4 linked regions of the Caenorhabditis elegans genome follow. The protein of the gene in region 4 interacts with the protein of the main gene of each other region in a pairwise test. Each region holds a gene or a part of one and is shown on either strand. Other genes may lie near its edges. The genes, in order: lbp-6, daf-4, vet-6 and scrm-1.

Evidence for each region.
Region 1: the proteins of scrm-1 (region 4) and lbp-6 interact in a two-hybrid assay, tested with the Caenorhabditis elegans proteins (one study listed by BioGRID).
Region 2: the proteins of scrm-1 (region 4) and daf-4 interact in a two-hybrid assay, tested with the Caenorhabditis elegans proteins (one study listed by BioGRID).
Region 3: the proteins of scrm-1 (region 4) and vet-6 interact in a two-hybrid assay, tested with the Caenorhabditis elegans proteins (one study listed by BioGRID).

The regions. Positions count from the first base shown.
Region 1 is NC_003279.8:6,727,796-6,731,244, reverse strand, and holds lbp-6 (Fatty acid-binding protein homolog 6), read left to right. Parts: upstream 1-1,868; 5' UTR 1,869-1,878; coding exon 1,879-2,085; intron 2,086-2,639; coding exon 2,640-2,840; 3' UTR 2,841-2,949; downstream 2,950-3,449. Other genes in the region: ant-1.2 (ADP/ATP translocase), read left to right, coding at 286-1,188; mec-6 (Mechanosensory abnormality protein 6), read right to left, coding at 3,204-3,362.
Region 2 is NC_003281.10:5,623,507-5,631,175, forward strand, and holds the start of daf-4 (Cell surface receptor daf-4), read left to right. Parts: upstream 1-1,635; coding exon 1,636-1,776; intron 1,777-1,856; coding exon 1,857-1,988; intron 1,989-2,356; coding exon 2,357-2,479; intron 2,480-3,100; coding exon 3,101-3,208; intron 3,209-3,257; coding exon 3,258-3,366; intron 3,367-3,437; exon of another isoform or gene 3,438-4,700; intron 4,701-4,989; coding exon 4,990-5,052; intron 5,053-5,162; coding exon 5,163-5,308; intron 5,309-5,355; coding exon 5,356-5,463; intron 5,464-5,954; coding exon 5,955-6,340; coding exon of another isoform or gene 6,341-6,365; exon of another isoform or gene 6,366-6,592; intron 6,593-6,951; coding exon 6,952-7,652; intron 7,653-7,669. UniProt on the Caenorhabditis elegans protein: Involved in a TGF-beta pathway. May be a receptor for TGF-beta-like ligand daf-7. Controls the decision of whether or not larvae enter a developmentally arrested state, known as dauer, in response to environmental conditions.
Region 3 is NC_003279.8:13,268,301-13,273,300, forward strand, and holds vet-6 (Very Early Transcript), read left to right. Parts: upstream 1-1,683; 5' UTR 1,684-1,699; coding exon 1,700-1,991; intron 1,992-2,045; coding exon 2,046-2,876; intron 2,877-2,935; coding exon 2,936-3,271; intron 3,272-3,319; coding exon 3,320-4,392; 3' UTR 4,393-4,482; downstream 4,483-5,000.
Region 4 is NC_003279.8:11,688,135-11,692,785, reverse strand, and holds scrm-1 (Phospholipid scramblase), read left to right. Parts: upstream 1-1,955; 5' UTR 1,956-1,964; coding exon 1,965-2,369; intron 2,370-2,482; coding exon 2,483-2,734; intron 2,735-3,140; coding exon 3,141-3,243; intron 3,244-3,289; coding exon 3,290-3,348; intron 3,349-3,395; coding exon 3,396-3,441; coding exon of another isoform or gene 3,442-3,449; exon of another isoform or gene 3,450-3,672; coding exon of another isoform or gene 3,673-3,677; exon of another isoform or gene 3,678-3,797; coding exon 3,798-3,820; 3' UTR 3,821-4,104; downstream 4,105-4,651.

The sequences.
Region 1 (3,449 bases), 5.0 Mb from region 4:
TTTTAAAGGACCAGAAACCCTTTTCTTTTCTCTGTCTCTGTTAAAAAAGGCCTTGTTTATTTTCCGTAAAATTTTTCATTAGTTTCAACAATTTTTAAAGAAACACTTTTGTTTTAGATTTTTCTTTTTTTTTAAATTAATTTTATTCTTTATATTGATTAGACTTTCATGACCAAAATTTTGAGAAGAGTCTAGTGAGCTCCTTCCTACTCGCATTTGAAGAAAGTTTTATTATCAGCATTCAGGAAATATAATCTCTGAAAAAAAACATTCCAGAAGGACAAAATGACCACAAAGGAAGGATTTGATTATCGAAAGTTTCTTGTTGATCTCGCCTCCGGAGGCACTGCTGCAGCAATCTCAAAAACTGCCGTTGCTCCAATTGAACGTGTAAAGCTTCTACTTCAAGTCAGTGATGTCTCTGAAACAGTAACTGCCGATAAAAAATATAAAGGAATTATGGATGTTCTTGCTAGAGTGCCAAAAGAACAAGGATATGCAGCATTTTGGAGAGGAAACCTTGCAAATGTGCTTCGATATTTTCCAACGCAAGCGCTGAATTTTGCATTCAAAGACACTTATAAGAAGATGTTTCAAGAAGGAATTGACAAGAATAAAGAATTCTGGAAATTCTTTGCTGGAAATCTCGCTTCTGGTGGAGCAGCTGGTGCAACATCTCTATGCTTCGTGTACCCACTGGATTTTGTGCGTACTCGTCTTGGAGCCGATGTTGGAAAAGGAGTGGATAGAGAGTTTCAAGGTCTAACGGATTGTTTTGTGAAAATTGTGAAATCAGATGGACCAATTGGTCTTTATAGAGGATTTTTTGTTTCAGTACAAGGAATTATAATTTATCGTGCAGCATATTTCGGAATGTTTGATACTGCCAAAACATTGTACTCAACTGACGGGCAAAAACTCAATTTCTTTACGACATGGGCAATTGCTCAAGTTGGAACAGTTGGTTCTGGATATTTATCATATCCATGGGATACAGTACGTCGTCGAATGATGATGCAATCAGGGAGAAAGGATATTCTCTATAAAAACACTTTGGATTGTGTTAGAAAGATTGTGAAGAATGAAGGAATTACTGCATTATACAAAGGAGGTCTTTCAAATGTATTCCGAGCAACTGGAGGTGCTCTTGTGCTCACAATTTATGATGAGATTCAACATTTAATTTAATTACAGAATTAAAGTATGTATATGTTAATTTTGAAACAACATTGCCAATAAATTTTTTTGTTTAAAATGCATTTTTACTTTATTTTAAAAAAAAGAAGATTGTTTAAGTTTCACAATTTGAAAATGGGCTTCTATATATGTACAAGATACTAGTTTTTTACCTCAAAAAAAAATAAATTTAAAAAAAATTAAAACTTAGATATACTTTAATCAAAAACGATATTTTCCTCCTCAGAAATTTCAGAATTTTTTTGATAATATTTTTGTTTTTATTCGACTGAAAATTCCTCACTTTTCCTCTTTTCTATTTTTATTTTTCAAAAATGATGCAACGAATCAAAAAATGAATCATTCTTCAAAAAAAAACGAAACGAAAAATAGAGGAGACAGAAATAGAGAAAACGTTTTGAATCTCCGCCCACTCTTGCCCCCTATCATTCCATTTATCAGACCACCTAAATACGAATGATTTCCCAAGGCATTGCCATTCGTTTTCTTGTTGATTTGCAACTTTTCTTTTATTTCCATTTGCAAGTGATATGATAGTTCATCTTCTAAAATTAATTTTTAAAATAAGATTTTTTAACCATAATTTCAGACTAACGTTTTATTCAGACCTATTACATATCCGTTAATCTATTGAACTTTTTACCTGCTTTTCCAACTTCTTCTATTTACAGAACCATCACCATGTCTCAAGAATTCGTTGGACGCTGGAAGCTCATTCACTCAGAGAACTTCGAGGAGTACATGAAGGAGGTTGGAGTTGGATTGATCACTCGTAAGGCTGCTGCCAACTTGAAGCCAACTTTGGAAATCAAGGTCGAAGGAGATTTGTGGTATTCCAACCAATACTCCACATTCAAGAACACCACTCTTTCTTTCAAGTTGGGACAGGTAAGAAAGTGCAAAGTTTTTTACTTACAAAAGACAAAAATAATGTTATCAAAAAAAATGTGGGTTTTCTGATTCCAAATTTGCGACAAAAAAGTTACATAAAAATAAAGAAACGCACTACAAATTTATGAATAAAAATTGTTACTTCCATATTCACAGACAAAAAGTCTTAAAATTCCAGGTGATAACATTTCAAACCATAAATCATAAAATGATCATTGATTTCTTGTTATAAGACTTTGATAAACAATATGTATTTCCCATAGTTTTCGTGTTTTTTCATGCACGAATAATATTTTTTTAAAGCCATGAGAAACAATATCTGATTTCAAAATGCACGTTCGTTGATATCGGCAATTGTGGACAAAGTTTAGCGACTTTCTGCCCACAATTTGCTGTGAGCAAATTCCTGCCAACATTTTATCCTATCCATTTGAGCTTTTGGTTTGAGCAAGTTATCCCCAAATTCCAAGTAATTGTATCCAATAAAAATTGTTTCAACCCTGAAATTGAACTAGCATTCTTCAGACTTATATTTAATGTTTTTATCCCAGGAATTCGATGAGACCACTCCAGATGGCCGTACCGTCAAGTCAGTTGTCAACTTCGAGAACGGAAAATTCATTCACATTCAAAAGAAGATCAAGGACTCTGATAAGGAATCAATTATCACCCGTTGGCTCGAAGGAGACAAGCTTATCACTACTCTTGAATCTGGATCCGTTGTTTCTCGCCGCGAGTACGTTCGCGAATAGATTCTCAATTCCCAACATGAGCTTTGTTCTTGTCTTCCTGTGATATTTAATAGTAAATATTGAAATTTAAAGTATTACAATTATTTCTTTATGGCAATAAATGAGAAATATATTATCAGACTTCGAATCAAGACACTAAGAATGACTAATTGTGACGAGAAATTAGTTAATTTGAAAGCTGCTAAATTCTCATAAATCGACTTTCCTCTAAAACGCTGGAAGGCTATTGAAAAGGGGTGGAGGCGTGGCGCCCCCGTTACGCCTCGACAAGTTTATAAATAAATCTAGATACAATGTCTACAACACATCTGTTTCTAGATCATATTCATCGGTTTATTTTTTAAATAAGCTCTAAAAGTTTGACTATGTAATATATGAATGCGTAAGATCACAATGAAGAAGTCTTCCAAATGAACTTCCAATTAACATTTGTTCATCAGTGAATACAACTGATGAACTCGCCGAAATAGTTGCTCCATCGTTTGCATACGGTTCAGTTGTTACCCAAGAGTTGCCTTCTTCCTGAAACAAATGCGATTTTTGATTTTTTGACGCTTTTTCGCATTGATTAGTATTTGAATGAATTGATAAAAAACGTGGAAACAGAGT
Region 2 (7,669 bases), on a different chromosome or scaffold from region 4:
CTTCTTCTTCTTCTTCATCTAACATAAGAGAGCTTTGGTCTTACACGCCTGCTGCTACCCTCTCCTCCTTCTTCTGCAACAACAACAAACCCACCGTGGTCACATGTGAATTTCGCCGAGTTTCACGCTCTTTTTCCCCCTTTTCTTTTTCGGCTTTTGCTGCAAAAATAGAACGAGTGAATAATACCCAGAAAAAAGCGAGTGCTTTGTTGTTGTCAAGGTAAACACAAAAAATATATGAAAAATGTTCAAAAAATATTCGTTTTGACATTCTCTTCTCCCACTTAAGTCGCTTGATTCAATGTGACGGGGAGGCTTGAGGCAGGAGGAAAAGTATAAATTCACCTGAAATAACGAATGGTGACATGTTTTTGAATAAGAAGAAGGAAAGGATGACGTTGAGTGGTACTTTCTATTTTCGTACGTTTTACAGAAAACTTATTGAAACTTAGCGCCCGACATCTAGCCCAAACTTGGACGAACACCTAAGCCTAAGCCCAAGCCTAAATCTCATTTTAGACTTTTAGCCGAGCCCACGCCTACTCCAATTCCGTTCTGCTGAAAAAAACATACGTTTTCCTGGTACCACGCACGAAATATAATCCTGAGAAACTTTTTTTGGTTACATTACATGTGTATAGCACATTATTTAATTTTTCCTCGAATTGCTAGTGTATTTTGGGAACCGAAATATGGAAAGTCCAGTTAGTCCGAACTTCGCCCATTTCCTATAAGGTGCAGGTGTTCATCGATACTATATTTTTCTCAAAGTTCCCGTTCTATAGACCCCGGAAGATCCCGCCTTCATTCTGTTTGGGCCCCGCCCAACTTTAGCCCCCTCCGATGAGAAAAAGAGCACAAGAGGACAGCGAGCCCCTCTTGTAAGGTTCTTGTAGGTCAGATTGTCACGTCATTTGATTTTTTGTTGTTGTTTATTAGAGAACATTGAATGAAAACCTTTTTTTATTTGAAACAAAAAGTAGAGAGTAGAGTTTGTAAAAGTGATAAGAGTGTACCAATCTTTGCTGTTTCCTCGTTCTTTTTCTCTTTTCTCTCTTCATTTCTGATGTGTGCTTCTCACTTCATTTTTTTTGCAAACTTTTTGTGCTTCCTTAACACTTTTCACATCTTTCGTTTGATGGAGATTGTGCAATTTATTCCTATTTTTACGGAATTTTTGAAAAATTTGGTTGACATTTTTTAGTTGAAAGTTTTGAACTCTCATGGTGCATCGAAGTAAAATTCAAACATTTTATTTTAAAAAAATGAAAAGTTTTTTGTTAAAAAAATTGGAAATTTCGAATGTCGAAATTCGAAATTTTTTTATCCGAAATTTCGATTGCTTTTATTTGAAATTAAGAAATTTAATTTTCATCAAAACTAAATTTTTAAAATTTTAGCTGGAAATTTTAGCAAAGCTGGCAATTTTATTTAATTTTATCGAAATTTTCGAATTTTCGAATTTTTGAAATTTTATTTATTTTTTCTCAAGTTGAATTTGTTGACCTATTTTTTTTATTTAAATAAGTTTGCATCTATTTTTCTCAATAAAACATTTGATCTTAATTATTTATTTATTTTACTCCTCAACTTTAAAAAAAACGTTACAATAATTCAACTACCTTCAATTTTCAGATGAATCAGAAAGGGACAGTACGTCTCAAGGCACTTGTGCTCATTTGCCTTCCACTCTTTTTAATTGCCACACCGGTTCCTGTTGCAGTCACGGAAGACGATCGTCAGGACCGAATCGAATCGGAAGCCGCCGAGAAAGAGGTGAGCATTTTTTGAGAAAATGTGTTTTTGTCGTAAACTTCTTTATTTTATTCTATCTCCTTGGTTTAACCATCTTTCAGTGGGCTAACACCCTAGTCAGCAAAGTAGCACAGTCAAATGGAACTGGCACTATTAAGGTCTCGGCACCAGCGAAGCCCACGTTAAGGAGAATGGACAATGAGGAGGATGAAGTGATTTCGATTGAATGTGTAGTAAGTTTTTGGATCAATTTGATGGAATTTAGGCTCATTAGATAGTGTTGACGTTTTGGGGATCAGAAATCAGTGACTCTCCCGTTTGTTTAAAAATTACTGGATCAAATACACTTTAATTCCAGTGAGCCCTGTTCCCCTTGTAGAGGTCGCAGAGCCAATCCACCCACATTCCACTGATCCTTGTTTCAATTAACTATAGTTACTTTAAAGTACCAAGATATTCTAAAAGGGATAAGTTCAAACCCGCAAGCTACAATAACTACAACTCCTTTTGTTTTTCAAGTGTTATCACTATTCCATAATTATAGGCTCTCTTCCCCAAAATTAAAGCAGTAGTAAAAACGTTAAACTTTAAAATTTTGCAGTACTACGACGAGATGGAATGCGAAAAGAGTGGCGATTGTGAAATCACAAAGAAGACGTGTTACAGTGAAGCTCATCTGAAAGCCGTCGGATGCTTGGCCGTATTTGGGCTGCCCACGCAAGAGGTTAGTGTGGAAGAGGTTTTTGGCGGCCACCCCCAGACCGAACTGTGTCACATGACGGGGGCCCTTTATATATATTGTTTCATTTGTTATTCATGAGTGACATCTTCTTCCTCTTCATCCGCGGAAGTATTTGTATCTTTTGCATTTTTTTTTCCATTCTGGCTTATGACTTTGTCAGCTGGAACAAATTGGGGTGACATGACTCGTGATTTTTGATAGTTTTGTAGGATGGAATTTGAATATCAAAATTAAAATCAGAATTGCATTAGTTTTATCGAAAACAAATACATATGAGCAAGGTTTTGGCCTTTTTGAAGACGACTTTGAAAATTTACTGAGCGACATAGGATTTAAACGTGGAACTTGATTCAAATTGAAAAAAATACTGCGGAAAAAGTTAATGATCAAGGCTTTATTATTCCTTTGCTACAAAGCTCTTCAAACCAAACTTAAAAGTTGTTGAGTTTATCAATCCAATTTTGATCGAATCCATTAAAAATGTGCAAACCAACTAATCCGGATTTAGCTGCCCATGTTTCAAAAGATGATTAATTGAGTAAAGGGGATAATAATAGATATATGCATCCATATTATAAACATCAAAAATCTTAAAATTTCCAGATAAACTCTACAGAACCATACCTGAAAGTTGATAAACCGCAATACAAAAGTCTGGGATGTATGCCGTATCAGCACGCGGACTCGATGAACTGCGAGAACGAAAGCTCCGTAAGTTATATTTCAGCATTCGGAGCACCTCATAAAACTGGAATTTCAGTGTCGCCAAGGACGATCATTTCGCGGCGGAATTGGAATGTGCTGCTGTTCGACCAACAATTGCAACATGCCGGATCTCATCGAGATGGTCAACCCGTCATTGAAGAAGGGTCAGTGAGCACATTATATTAAGAGAGCACTATATCCCATGTTTAACCCCATTCTTAGTATACTAGAGCAACACGCAATGATTCTGTTTTTGTGAATATACATATATATCACCTCCTTCTTTTTACCTTTTTTACCTTCTTTCTGTCCCACTTTCTGTTTAAATAACCTTCTTTCGGGTGAGCGTTGGGGCTAGAGGCTAGGGAGAAATTGTTGGCATTGAAATGAGAGGTTTTCTGTGAAACATTTAGCTTTAAGTTAGCAGAATTTTCACGAAAGTTGAACAACCACGCGTGTCTGTGCCTAGTTATTTTTTCGAAATACGGTTCATCATACGGAGGTTGCCTCCCATCAACTAAAATACGACAGAGTTGGAGCACATTCGAGAAAATTCCCAGGAAGTTAGACAAAAATGTGGCAAACTAACGACGAGTGTAGGGAGATAGTGGACGGAAGTTGGCAAACGTTGCGAGCAAATGAGAAGCACCAAATTGCAATATGTCCTAATGTAGAAGCGTTCAGGCGAAAGTTCGAGAGAGTTTGGCGATGTTTGGTTTGAGCTCGGCCACAGTAATAGGGAAAGTGACGCGAAGTGTGATCAATCTGAGTCAAGCTTTCGACAAGTGAAAGACGAGAGTAGGAGTTGAGGAGCGGGCCAGATGGAAGACGGAAGCTGCGACGAATCTTCAACTAATTTATGAGCGTTGAAAAAAAAAGTTGGAGAGAGGTTATGGGGTTATTCAAGTAGTGTCGGAAAATTAAAAAGTGTAGAAAAATTACGTCACAACCTTATTCAAGTAGATAAAAACATGTATTTAAATACATTTGTGACGTCACAAATGTATTTAAATGCATTTTGCTACATTACTTGAATAACCCCATTAGAAAATTTTGAATGGTCTCTACGGATCTCAGCAAACGTTCGTCCAAACTGCGACAACCTTATGACGCGTTTATGATAAAATTTGAAGTTGAGACAATGAGAGAGAAGGATAACCGAGCAGAGGTTGAGAAGAAAGCTCGAGAGAGCTTGGCAAACATTGAAAGATAGTTCAGCTAGCCCTGAGACAATATTTTGCGCCAAAGCTGAACAAATTTCCGGTGGAAGTCAATCGGAAATTAAGAAAAATATGGAGAACTTCCCATTACTTTAGCTATACTCCTCCCAACCTTTCCCCGTGTACCCTCAACCTGAAAGAATCCACCTCTGTAAAAGCCTGCAGTTGTCATAAACCTTGTTCCCAATTTCTCTTCCCTTTCCTAATTTTCTCCGAAAAAAATGCACGTGGACCTCTCCAGATTGTCTCCTAATTTTCTCTTACCCCTCACACATACACACACACACCATTCATGCAATTTTATGTTTGTTCTTGTGGCTTTGCAAGTAAACCACTTTTTTATTTCAACTTTCTTTTGTTCTTTCTGTTTCTAGAGGCGATTCGCAACGACACTCTGCTGTTATTTGGCTCCTCCCCTCCAGTGAGCGGAGTGTCGTTGCAAAGTGAAACAAACGCTTTTTCGTAATAATTTGCACCCGTGGAAGATGCCTGTACACACACACACACATACAAATAAAAACATGTACACATTTTGAAATCACCTATTTAGAGCCGATAAAATTTCAGATTCGGATAATTCTGCACTTCTGTGGGCTTCAACTCCATCCAACATGGATTTGGAATCTCTAGGTACTGTCTGCATCTACGTCTCGGGGCTAGCTGGGTACTAACTAGGTGCTAAACACCCTCTACCACACATCCCCCACTCTTGTCAGTTTCTCAATGGAGCGAATTTGCAGACAAGTTCCCATTCTACTGGATCATCATAATCGCACTGTCAGTGATCCTTTGTATTGCACTCTTGATCTTGGCATACGTTGGTTGGAAATTTCAGCAGAATAAGAAGGAGGAGATAAAAAAGCAGCAGAAAATTAAATTTGACATGGCGAGTTTTGTCTTTTTTGAAATCGAATCAATTTTCGAAATTTTCAGGAAAAAACTGACGCACTGGAAGCTGGAAATGTGCCTCTCGTGGAGCCGGAAGAGGAAATGATTGAAATGGTGGAGACACCAAAGGAGCTGCCGATCACTGATTTTCAGGTATGTAGGTACCGCAAGAGTCGTGCTTGATATTTTATATTGAAACATGCTCTCTAAATCTAGAATACAACATTTGAATTTTGAAAAAAAAACCATATTGGTGAAACTTTTCAGCTTTACATGAATTTTTTAAAAATTATCAAAAACAATTGTTAACATAACTTAAAAACAACGAACAATTCTGAAAACATTTGAATTTATGGTTTTTTAACAGTGTCGGGGAACGTTTTCATTTGGCATTGGAGCGCATTTGCACTTTGATTTCAAAATTCACATATTTCGCGTCTTCATAATAGTTCGTCTTTTTGATATTTTGCTCGGAAGTTCGACCTCACGGTGTAAACTTTTGATGTCCACTACTTTGTGAACTCTGAGCTTTTCCTTACTTTTTCTTTATCTTTGAGAAAAAATGTTGAAAACAACAGAAGGCTCTTTTCATGAGCTGATTGACGTCACACTTACACTCAATGACATTTGTTCGTTTATTGCAGTTAATCTCAAAGGGACGTTTTGGAAAAGTTTTCAAGGCGCAATACACCCCAGACAGTGGTGAGAAACGATTGGTTGCGGTGAAGAAATTGAACGAATTCCAAAAAGCGAGCTTTTTGGCGGAGAAAAGAATCTTTGATGAGCTTAACGAGTACCCGAAGTGGTATAAAAGTATCGTCGAATTTGTGTGCGCCGAGAAAATTGGTGATGAGTATTGGATTGTGACCGAATTTCATGAGCGACTTAGTCTCTATGAGTTACTCAAGAATAATGTAATTAGTATTACATCTGCCAATCGAATTATTATGTCAATGATCGATGGGCTTCAATTCTTGCATGACGACAGGCCGTACTTCTTTGGACACCCAAAGAAGCCAATTATTCACAGGTTAGTGGAAAATGAAAATAATTAGAAAATTTTTAATGGATCTGACTTGTGATCGCCCTCCAACTAGTTTTAATGCTCAGAACTTTACTCTAGGTTGGTCCTAGAAAAAATCGGAAGAAGTTGCTAAGTTGCGCTTGAGCAGCCGACATTTTCAGGATCAATTAATAGTAGCGTGGACCTACAAGTTGTCGGCTGCAATTTCCAGTAAATATTTTTTGAAATACACACGATAGAGTCCAAAATGATAGGGTAAAATATTGAAAAAAAAAAACCAATTTTTAGGCGCATGACAATTTTCAGTTGAAGTTTCGAAAAGTTAGGGTTTAGAAAAAAAATAAAAATTCAAACAATTTTGTACATTGGAACACCTAAAGTATCTAGAGTTAATTAGAACATAATCAGAATATAAATTTCGCGGGAAAATTGTGTACAAAGTGTTATTATGATATTCGGTTTACTATCGGAGAGATTCTAACCAATGCTCCCAGTAACACTACGTTACCTTTTAAGAGCAGGTAGCGAGTTTCAACGACGCACGACGCTGGTTAGTGTATGCTCCAAACTGTTTCTAATGTCTGTACTTATTCAATTCAATAACCAATTTTTTGCAGAGATATCAAGTCGAAGAACATTCTTGTGAAAAGCGACATGACCACATGCATCGCGGACTTTGGCCTCGCCCGAATCTACAGCTATGACATTGAGCAAAGCGATTTGCTGGGTCAAGTGGGAACGAAACGCTACATGTCACCAGAGATGCTCGAAGGAGCAACCGAATTCACGCCAACTGCTTTCAAAGCGATGGACGTTTATTCGATGGGACTCGTCATGTGGGAAGTCATATCCCGTACCAAGTTGCACCAAACCGACGAGCCACCAAACTACCAAATGCCGTTTCAAGTCATCGGATTTGATCCCACAATTGGTCTCATGAGAAATTATGTGGTGAGCAAGAAGGAACGACCACAATGGAGAGATGAGATTATTAAACATGAATATATGAGTCTGCTAAAAAAGGTTACGGAAGAGATGTGGGATCCCGAAGCGTGTGCACGGATTACAGCTGGATGTGCGTTCGCGAGGGTATGGAATCATATTATGAGCTCACCGGACAGTTCGGAGGGGTATCACAGTGGAAGTAGTATGAAGAATCGGGGTGTTGATGATGTTGAACAAAGTGAGAAGCCGGAGGGTATCGAAGAAATGCAACATTATCATGCGTCGTCACCCAGCAAGAGACAACATCCTAGTCCGAATCCGTTTTTTGATTCGTGTCCACCACCTCCGCCGATTCCTGTGATCCTTGAAAATGGTGAGTGTACAGTGAAT
Region 3 (5,000 bases), 1.6 Mb from region 4:
GCTTCAGAGGCCATTTCTCGGCTCCCAATGATTTTCGCAGCACCAAACTTGACCAAAATGATCTTCCCCACCTATTTATTACTATTCAAATAATTGTTGAAAACATTTATTCATATGAACCAAATGGTAAAGGGAGCAACTGCAGTGATTTTCAAAAGGCTTGATTTAACTATGAAAACTAGCGTTTGGAGGCGCAGAGCTGATGGTTTTGACTTCCTATTGTACAGAATTTTAGCTCATCCGGTTCAAATATCCTTGAAGCTTTGATTTTGATTAGAAGTCTTCGAAAATTTATTCGGAAAAGTTCATGAGACCGCTCAAAAGAGGACAAAGGCAAAGCGAGGCCGCAAGTATTTTTCTCAAGCTAACACGCGAAAATTTTAAAGACGAAAGTAAGATATAACTTTCTGAATGGCGATTTTTCTAGCTGTATTTATAACTCAACTGAAATTTAGCGAATTTGCTCATTGAATATTTCTATGGTCAAAGAACCTAAAAGCTAACAGACAAAACCTGAATCGGTGAATGTAGATGTCTAGCATTTGATGTATCCATGGATTTCCACAGATTTGATGTTCACATAATATAATTTTTTTTTTTTGCTATAATTTAGTAATTCTTAGTCGAAAATGTATTACCAACCTTCAGCTCTGCGCCTCCAAACGCTAGTTTTCATAGTTAAATCAAGCCTTTTGAAAATCACTGCAGTTGCTCCCTTTACCATTTGGTTCATATGAATAAATGTTTTCAACAATTATTTGAATAGTAATAAATAGGTGGGGAAGATCATTTTGGTCAAGTTTGGTGCTGCGAAAATCATTGGGAGCCGAGAAATGGCCTCTGAAGCAAATACGAACGTTCCAGGACAATCCTAGGCGTTCCACGTGTTTTCAGGGGTTATATTTATTTTTTAAATGTGAAAATGAAACCGTCTGAACATTTTGTTGTAAAGTTATTCACAAAATAAATTTATTAATTAAGAAGAAAACCCCGATTTTACCGAAAATTGCCAAAAATCAGAGGGGGTGCTATAGAAGTTGGACGGCCATTTTTCCGATATTTTGACCTAATTCCTGTGATTTTTGAGATATCATAATGAAAATTGGGGAGCATAGGTTTTTCAACATTTGCTATCGAACTGCACTAGCACTTTTTCAAAAAATATTTTGAGAAGCTCCAAACCGCCAAATTGGAGGGGGGTGCTATAGAAGTTGGACGCACTGTATACCCTAGTTTGAAATTGCTTGGCAAAGTAAGATGAAACATTAAAAGAAAAGGCACTGTAATTCAGCAAAACAGACTTGACTGTACGTCCCAATTTATTGCAAGAGTGGGAGAATATTAGTGTCATTTGACAGATGCTCAGTGTTTTTCTAGATATTCGGTCTCCTGGGACTCCACTATAAGAGGGTTGCCATCGTCTCCTTTTCAGACAATGGCAGGCTCCTCCTTTGTCCAGATAAATCACTTTATGGGTAATCGATAACCCAAAACGCGCAAATGGAGTCTGACAGATTTCAGGCACCTTACCACTCAGTCTTCCAGTCATTCAATCTTCAACTGCCCTTCCTGGTTGGTGAGCTGGTTTTTTCTTTCCTTTTTTCAATTATTTTCCTTATTTTTCTGTTACCTGTTTTGTCGTATTGTCTTGTCTAGAAGATTCTAATTATCTTCAATTTCCAGAAAGTAAACTCCAACGATGAGTTCCAACTCTGCACTTGAATTGAAATCTGCTCTCTCACAACTCAATCGCGAACGTTCTGAAATGGTCAAAGATCTGGAAAAGGCACAAAAAGACTATGTGGCTGCAAGAAACATGCACAAGTCTACTGGCTCTCAAAATCACCTTGAAGTTGTTAACACATGCTGGAAGAATGTTCAAGCGGCACAAAAAGCTCATCAGAGCAAAGTAGAAGAATTTCATATGGTTCGCCGTTCATTCGCGGATGCAGTGAGGGAGAGTCCGGAATCTTGTTCTATTAAAAATCGAGGTCAGTTTTCATTACTCTTTGAAGATTATAGATTTTCTAATCCTTTAATTTCAGAAAGCAATCCATCTTCAACCAATGATCAAGATTTAGCCGCCAAAAAAGCTGTTCTGGATGCCGAATTCCGAGAAGAAGCCATCAGAGACGGAGTTTTTATCCCAACTCAACGATACAACTCTACACTTCCACCACCCTTGGTTCGAAATGAATATGTTGCCGAACCAAAGAAATCGACCGCTGATGAAGATTTCGAAAAGCGGATGGTAGAGCTTCAACGTCAAGCTTCGAAGTATGCAAAGATTGGTGATTCAGCGGTATTAAAAGATCGCTCAACTGGATTGACAGCTGCTACCATACAGCTCTTCGCAGAATATTTTCCCAAGCGCCGCGAGCTGTCAAACGCTCGAAAAGACTTCATGACAGTACTGAATTTGCATGCTTCTACTGGTTTTCTAAAATACTGTGAAGCGGTTAATGCAAGCAGGAAACACTTAGAAGCGGTAGAAGAGGCTTATCGGAAAACAACCAATGAGCTTTGCAAGGATCTTAATGAATATCCGATGGAGTCTGATAAAGATGTCAAAGAGCGTGCTTCAAAGTATGCAGAGATCTGTCGTTTAAAGGAATCAGAAGATCAACTTTTGGATCTGCTAAAGCCGGCATCCAGCGAATTAATCCCGTTGTTCAATGAAATAGTGAATCTGTCCGGCATTCGTACCAAGAAGACACCGACTCAAACCACTGAAGCCTCACAGATTGCTCCAGAAAGCATTTCTACCTCAAATGTAGATCCAGCAACTCAACTAGATCCTGAAACTACCCAGACATCACCGCTCACCTCGGCCCCAGTTTCTTGGTTCAACTCTGAAAGTTCCGATATAAACCAAGGTAATTTAATATATTTATTAATATACGAAACTATAATTAATTATAAAATCTTTTTGCAGACATCACATCATATCCGGATCTAGTACACCACCCTGGTGTAGATTCCGAAAAACAGATGGTCGAGTTTCATCGTCAAGCTTTGAGGCTTTATGAACTTCAGACTTCTCAGACACTTGCTTCTTGTTTTGATTCTGAAAGTCAAGAAGTGAACTCATTGCTCAATAATGCGTTCGTTGAAGCCTCAGAGATTACTGAAGAAAACATTTCGACCACAAATGTAGAATCTACATCACAGTCAGAGCCAACAGAAGTAACTCCAGAAACTACCCAGGAATCAGCACCCACCTCTGCTCCAGTTGTCTGGTCCGAAGCCCCAGGATATGGTGCGAGACAAGGTAACTAATTAAGTACCACAAATCTTTTAATCATATTATTATTTTCAGAATGTAATCCTCGGATGTGCACCAACAGACAACACTCTTCTCCAATCAGGATCCGTCATTGCACATCAAGAAATGTCACAACTTACAGTGTCTATTGCTGGAAGAGACCTTCTCACGTATACACCTACAATCATCAAGAGGAGAAATTCGAGCAGCACAAGTGTCTTGCCTGTGTTCCAAGAGTTCAAGAAAACCACTTATTCCCCACGTGTGCAGTTTGGAACGAGAAAATCTCCAATTTCGTGATTTTCATGGACAATATGGTGACAAAGCAAAAAGATGAGCAGTACATGTTCAGCTTCAAGACTGGGGGATTCGAGCAAGTGAACTATCCGGAGGTGCAACCAGCTCAAGGACCGAAAAACACTGATTTTGTAGCAGCAGTCAATGGAGATGGAGATGATCAAGTGATCATCCAAAAGTCACGATTTGGTGTGAAGAAGCTGGAGTTCAGATATGGAAAGTATGTGAAGATTCCGAGTGTTGAAGTGAGAACTCTTTTGATGAAGGAGCTGGAGGGTGTGGAGATGGTTCAAGAACCATCCAGTACTCTTCCATTATCCACAATCCGCTGGTGTCCAACATACAGTCAGAGTGCTCTCTATATCTTCTCCAGTCGATTGGGACATTATCTCAAGTACGCATTCAACCCATCTACACAGCAATTCGAGCAACTCAACTGTTCGGGATGCCCATTAAATGTTGAGGAATGGCACTTGTGTCCATTATACGCAGAGTACGCTGATTCTATCAAAACCTATGTAATTCATGTCTTCAACGATTTCACAAAGGAGATTGAGAAGTATATGTATTGCGTGACAGGAAAATGTTTCTATCAAGTTACATGTCCGGAAATCGTCTACGATTCATCGAAGGCCCATAGCTCAACAGTGCTTTTCACCGTTTCTGCTCCAAATCACCCATTCACAATTTTTATGAAGGATGTTAATGGAAGAATTAAGAAGGAGCAACTCAACGGGCTTCACAATGGTTATATGGAACTTCCCAGCGCCAAAGTCTACACGTTGTATGCGATGAGATGTAATAATTCGGCTGGAACTACCGGCATCTGAAAATATATTCATTTTTGCAATATTTCCATTTGATTTTCATTGTTCTGACCTGTCCTTTTTTGATAATTAATTTCAATAAATTATGTTTTTTTATTAGAATGCAATTTTATTAGAAGCAATTTATAAGAAGCAAATTTTATTAGAAGCAATGGCTTAGGTTCCCCGAATAGGGCCACTGAGATTCTTAAAATACTTTCGAGCCAGACCTAGGTAAGTAGGGGAAGAGAAAAAATGAAATAATGAGTGGACGAAAAAGTAAAATGACCAATTGGACGAGCTATAGTCTCCGGGAGGTCAAGTTGGGAAGAGGGTGTCGGAGGGAAATAGAGCCTAGGCGCGACGTCTACCGTAGACAGCCCTACCCTAGACTAAAACATGTTTCAGGTGTGTCTCAAACATTGATACACGTCTCAATTTGAATTTGTCCACTAAACGGTATGACTGACATTCCACTTTTTCTGCTTGAACTCAGTGAATATGAAACTTTTTCAAATTTGGTTTCCAAATTCTGAAAGACCACAAAATTTGCAACAAAATGACAGGGATTTTTGAAAATGTTAGTTTAAAGCTAGATATGATTTTTTTAAATTGGAAAAATTGTCGTCTGT
Region 4 (4,651 bases):
AAACCCTTTGAAAAATATATTATTTTCCATTAGAAAATTTTAAAAATTTTATGAAAAATTTTTTTTTTTCAATTTAATTTTCTAATTTTCGAATTTTTTCAAGTTCTCAAAAACTTCTATGATATTATTTCTGAGCTTTCCGAGCAACTTTCGCAATAAAAAGTGACGTCACTCAAAAAAAAGTAGTTTTGTATTTTGTATATTTGCTGAATCACCACTGTTTTCTGTTCAAATTTCATTGGTTTTTTTTTCTCTTTCATTTTTCACGTTTTTCCATTTCTCTCCCCTACTTTCTCTATGATTCAAACACGTTTTTTAATTCAACAAAAAAAGCGAAAAAAAGTGTTGTTTGGCCTTAATCATATGTATTAAATGGTTACCATGGTAGCTATCGCAAGTAGACAGCTGAAAATCTTTGATTTCTCTGCGTCTCTCCTAATTTTTTGATCTTTTCCGTATTCCGGCCACGCAACCCTTTTGTTTGTGTAGTTAGCTGGCTGACTTATGATTTTTTGGAAAACTGGTGAAAATGTTTCGCCCATTTTTTCATTGAAAAACCATTCTTAGTATCTACTTTTTAGTGGAACCTCTGATAATATGATAAAATGGGTATATTTTAACTAAAACCCTAAGGGTATACATAATTCCAAAAACGTTATTTTTTTAAACAAAAAATTGCGAAGCACCAAAATGCTCCGTGAGCTCAATATGGAAAACACTGAAACCTAGGCAATATGGGGCTTAAATCAAAGCTCTTAAAAAGCTGAACTCAAATTCGTATTAAAAAAAAATTTAGTGATTGTGAATAAAATAGAAAATAATGTGGGTAATTTCAGACAAAATGGGTATATTTTAACTAAAACCCTAAGGGTATACATAATTCCAAAAACGTTGTCTGAAATTACCCACATTATTTTCTATTTTATTCACAATCACTAAATTTTTTTTTTAATACGAATTTGAGTTCAGCTTTTTAAGAGCTTTGATTTAAGCCCCATATTGCCTAGGTTTCAGTGTTTTCCATATTGAGCTCACGGAGCATTTTGGTGCTCCGCAATTTTTTGTTTAAAAAAATAACGCCATTGTTAATTTTTATCATAAAATTTTTATTATAAGTTCAGCTCCCTTAGAGCGTCAATTCAAGCCCCATATTGCCTAGGTTTCAATATTTTTCACGTTGAGCTCGCGAAGCATTTTGGTGCTCCACGGAAGCATGAAAGCGGAAATTTTCAAACTAAAGTAATCTATACAATATGGATGCCAAGTTTTCAAATTTTTAGTGAATTGAGCAGCAGGATTAATTACGATTTGGAGTGTTCTGTGCTCACGGAGCAACAGAGCCCTACATTAAGTTTGAGGTAGCATAGGCATTATGGGTGTCAAACTAAAGCTTTCAGCTAGCTGAATCTAGCAAGATTGAGCCCACATCTGAATTTGGTGCTCTGAGAGCCAGAAATAGAGGTTGTTTTAATCAGATTTAAAATTGTCTGTGCCGTGCACAAATTGCTTCTCCTTATTCCCCTCTAATCATTGAGTTGTATGGCGTCATTGAACTTTTGATATGTAAAGCTTTTTATTATGAAATTTGATTTCAGCTTTCAGGAGCTTGAGAGCCATATTTTCTAATTTTAAGAATGTTTAAGACTGAGCTCAATTGGTGCTCCGCGAGCTGAAAGCTTTAAAGCTGAAGTTTTGTAAATTTAGATCAAATTCGAAAACATTTTTGTGCAAGCTCACGGAGCATCTTTTTTTTCACGTCACGTGAATCACTATGCTTACCAGATTGTAGCGCTGAATTGTATCAGTTCCTGTTGCTCCGCGAGCCCATAAAAACTTTACTATTTGATTCTACAAAAAGTCTAGGTGCCCCAGAACTTTCCTCCTGCTGATTTTTATCTTGAAATTTTTTCTAAATCTACTGTGCTTTGTTCATTTTTCAAGTGTTTTTTTTTCAGAAAATAACCATGCAGCAACCAGTAATAAACCAACAACCGGGCTACAACCCACAGGGTATGAATCCAGTGCAACAATTCGAAATGCATCAGCAGCAGCACCAACAAGCAATCACAACTCAGCCAGGTGTCTTTGTGCAGCCGGCTCCTGGCTCCGTGTGGATGCCAATGCCACCAGCAATCCAAGGTGTGCCTACAGGCCTGGAGTATCTTACCTACTTGGATACAATCATGGTGCATCAAATCAAGGAGCTCATCGAGATTGTGACGGACTGGGAGACCAAGAACAAGTACGTGCTCAAGAATGCAAATGGAGAACAGTGTTACTACGCGTTCGAGGAGTCCGGATGCTGTGAGAGACAGTGCTGTGGACCGCAACGTGGATTCGTCATGCATATTGTGGATAACTTTAAGAGGGTAAGCTCACGGAGCATCTGGTTCAACAAGCTCGCGGAGCAATCCTGAGCCCAAATTTTCAGGCCTACCAAGCCAAAATTGATCCACATGCTCTGAAATTTCAAATTTTCCAGGAAGTTCTGACCATCAAGCGTGAGTTCAAGTGTTGCGGAGGTGGTTGCTGTGGATGCTTGGCATGCATCGGATGCTGCCAGCAGGAATGTATCATCGAGACCCCATCGATGGGTGTTCTGGGTATCATCCGTCAGCGGTGTGGATGCATGTCGTCGAATTATGATATTATGGATGGAGATGGAAATGTGATCTTCCAGATTGATGGTCCATGCTGTTGCATGCTTTGCGGATGTCAGGATAAGGAGTTTCCGGTAGGTGAAGTTCTAGGGTCCTGAGAGGTGTCGGCTGCAAGGTACATGCTAGCTTGTCTGATTGCAAGGTGCTGTGAAATGTCGGCCGCTAAATATTACCTGAGGCTGTGAATGTATTGAAAATCCCAAAATTTTCACCGGCCCTTTATCTGAGGTTTTGCCAGTGAGGCGTCGGCCGCAATTTACTAGGATTACTGGCCACCCGTAAAGTGTCGGCTGCTTGAACCACCTGCTTTGCTGACTTGTGCTGTGCAGCCGACACCTAGCGGCTTTGTCGAATAACCCAAGAAACAGCGGTTGCCGAGCAGCCGACACTTTGCGGGTCTGTCGGGAAGCCAGTGAGCTACCGGCTGAAGATCCTATCCCCCTAAAATGTCCGCTGCTTCAATACCCTCAAAATTTTCAGATCAAAACCGCCAACAACGGCACAGTTGTCGGCGCGATCACCAAAAAATGGGGAGGTTGCTTCCGAGAGGCGTTCACCGACGCCGACACGTTCGCCGTCAACTGTAAGTCGCCCCCGTCCATACAATCAATAATTCTTGCAATTTTCAGTCCCCGGCGACCTGGACGTCAAACTCAAAGGAGTACTGATAGGAGCCACGTTTTTGATTGTAAGTTTGGTTGCTGTAGAATTACTGTAACTTTGCTAATTTTTCAGGATTTCATGGAGTTTGAGCAACAGAGCCAAAACCGCAATAACGGAGGTTTGTGATTATCGCTTTTTGCTAACAGAAGTTTTTTTGTTGTGGAAATTATTGATTTTTGCTTAAATTATCAACTTTTGTCTAAAAAAAACTATTGATTTATGTGAAAATTATCGAATATTGAAAAAGGATTGGTGTCTTCCCTAAAATATGAATTTTCGTCCAAATTATTGATTTTTGGGATAATTATGGATTTTCGCTTGAATTATCAATTTTTTTTTGCTTTTTCAGTCTAACCGTCCGTCTGCTTAACCCTCTACCATTTGCTTTACATTTTTGCTGTGTTTTTCGGTGATTAGAGCATAATTTGGTATGCAATCCCGGTTTTTTGTCAATTGACCTTTTTTTAATTCCAGGAGCCTATTACAGTTCTTCTTAAAGGTACAGCAAGCTCCGCATGCTGCTGCCCCGATGGTTGTGATTGCAATTGTGACTGTAATTGTTAAAAGCCAACTTTTTTAAAAACGTTTTTCTTATTATTCCAACGCATTCTTCCAATATATGTATGACGTCACTTTCCTTCAGACTCCGCCCACATTTCCTTGTTAAGCCCCGCCCACTCTCAGGTCTCCAAGCCCCGCCCATTTCTTCTAGTTTTCAGTGTCTGTCCCACCCACTTTTTTCTCACAAAATTATATATCAAAAATAAATTGTTTTTGAAAAATCGATAATTCAAATAGTTTACTACATATATTGATTATTTAAAGTGTAAAATTCACGAAATGTGTATTTTTGCTCACTATGAAATGTGCTCCAAAACGCTTTGCTCCGCGAGCCCTTTGCTACAGGATCAGCTCTATTTGCAAAATTTTCAGGTTGAAAAAATGGAGCAAGAACTTCTTAACCCTGCTCCACCGGTTTACGTTGAACTGCAAGACCGAGCTGTTATTACAACTCAACCGGGAGCTCCGATACAAGCGGCTCCAGGATCCATCTGAATGGAAGCGCTCCCAGCAATTGAAGGGGTTCCCGCCGGCCTAGAGTACCTTGCATACTTAGATGAGATCATGGTGTACCAAGTGAAAGAGATGTTTGAAATATTTACCGGCTGCCCTAAAAACCAAAAAAACTCACAATCAAAAACGTGGCTCCAAGGAGCACAGCCTTGAGCTTGACATCAAAGTCGGCGGGGACTGATAATAGCCAGGGGTTATTTTAGCTTTTTTCAATTAAACCTACATAAGACGGCAAAAGTGTCCGCGTCAGTGAA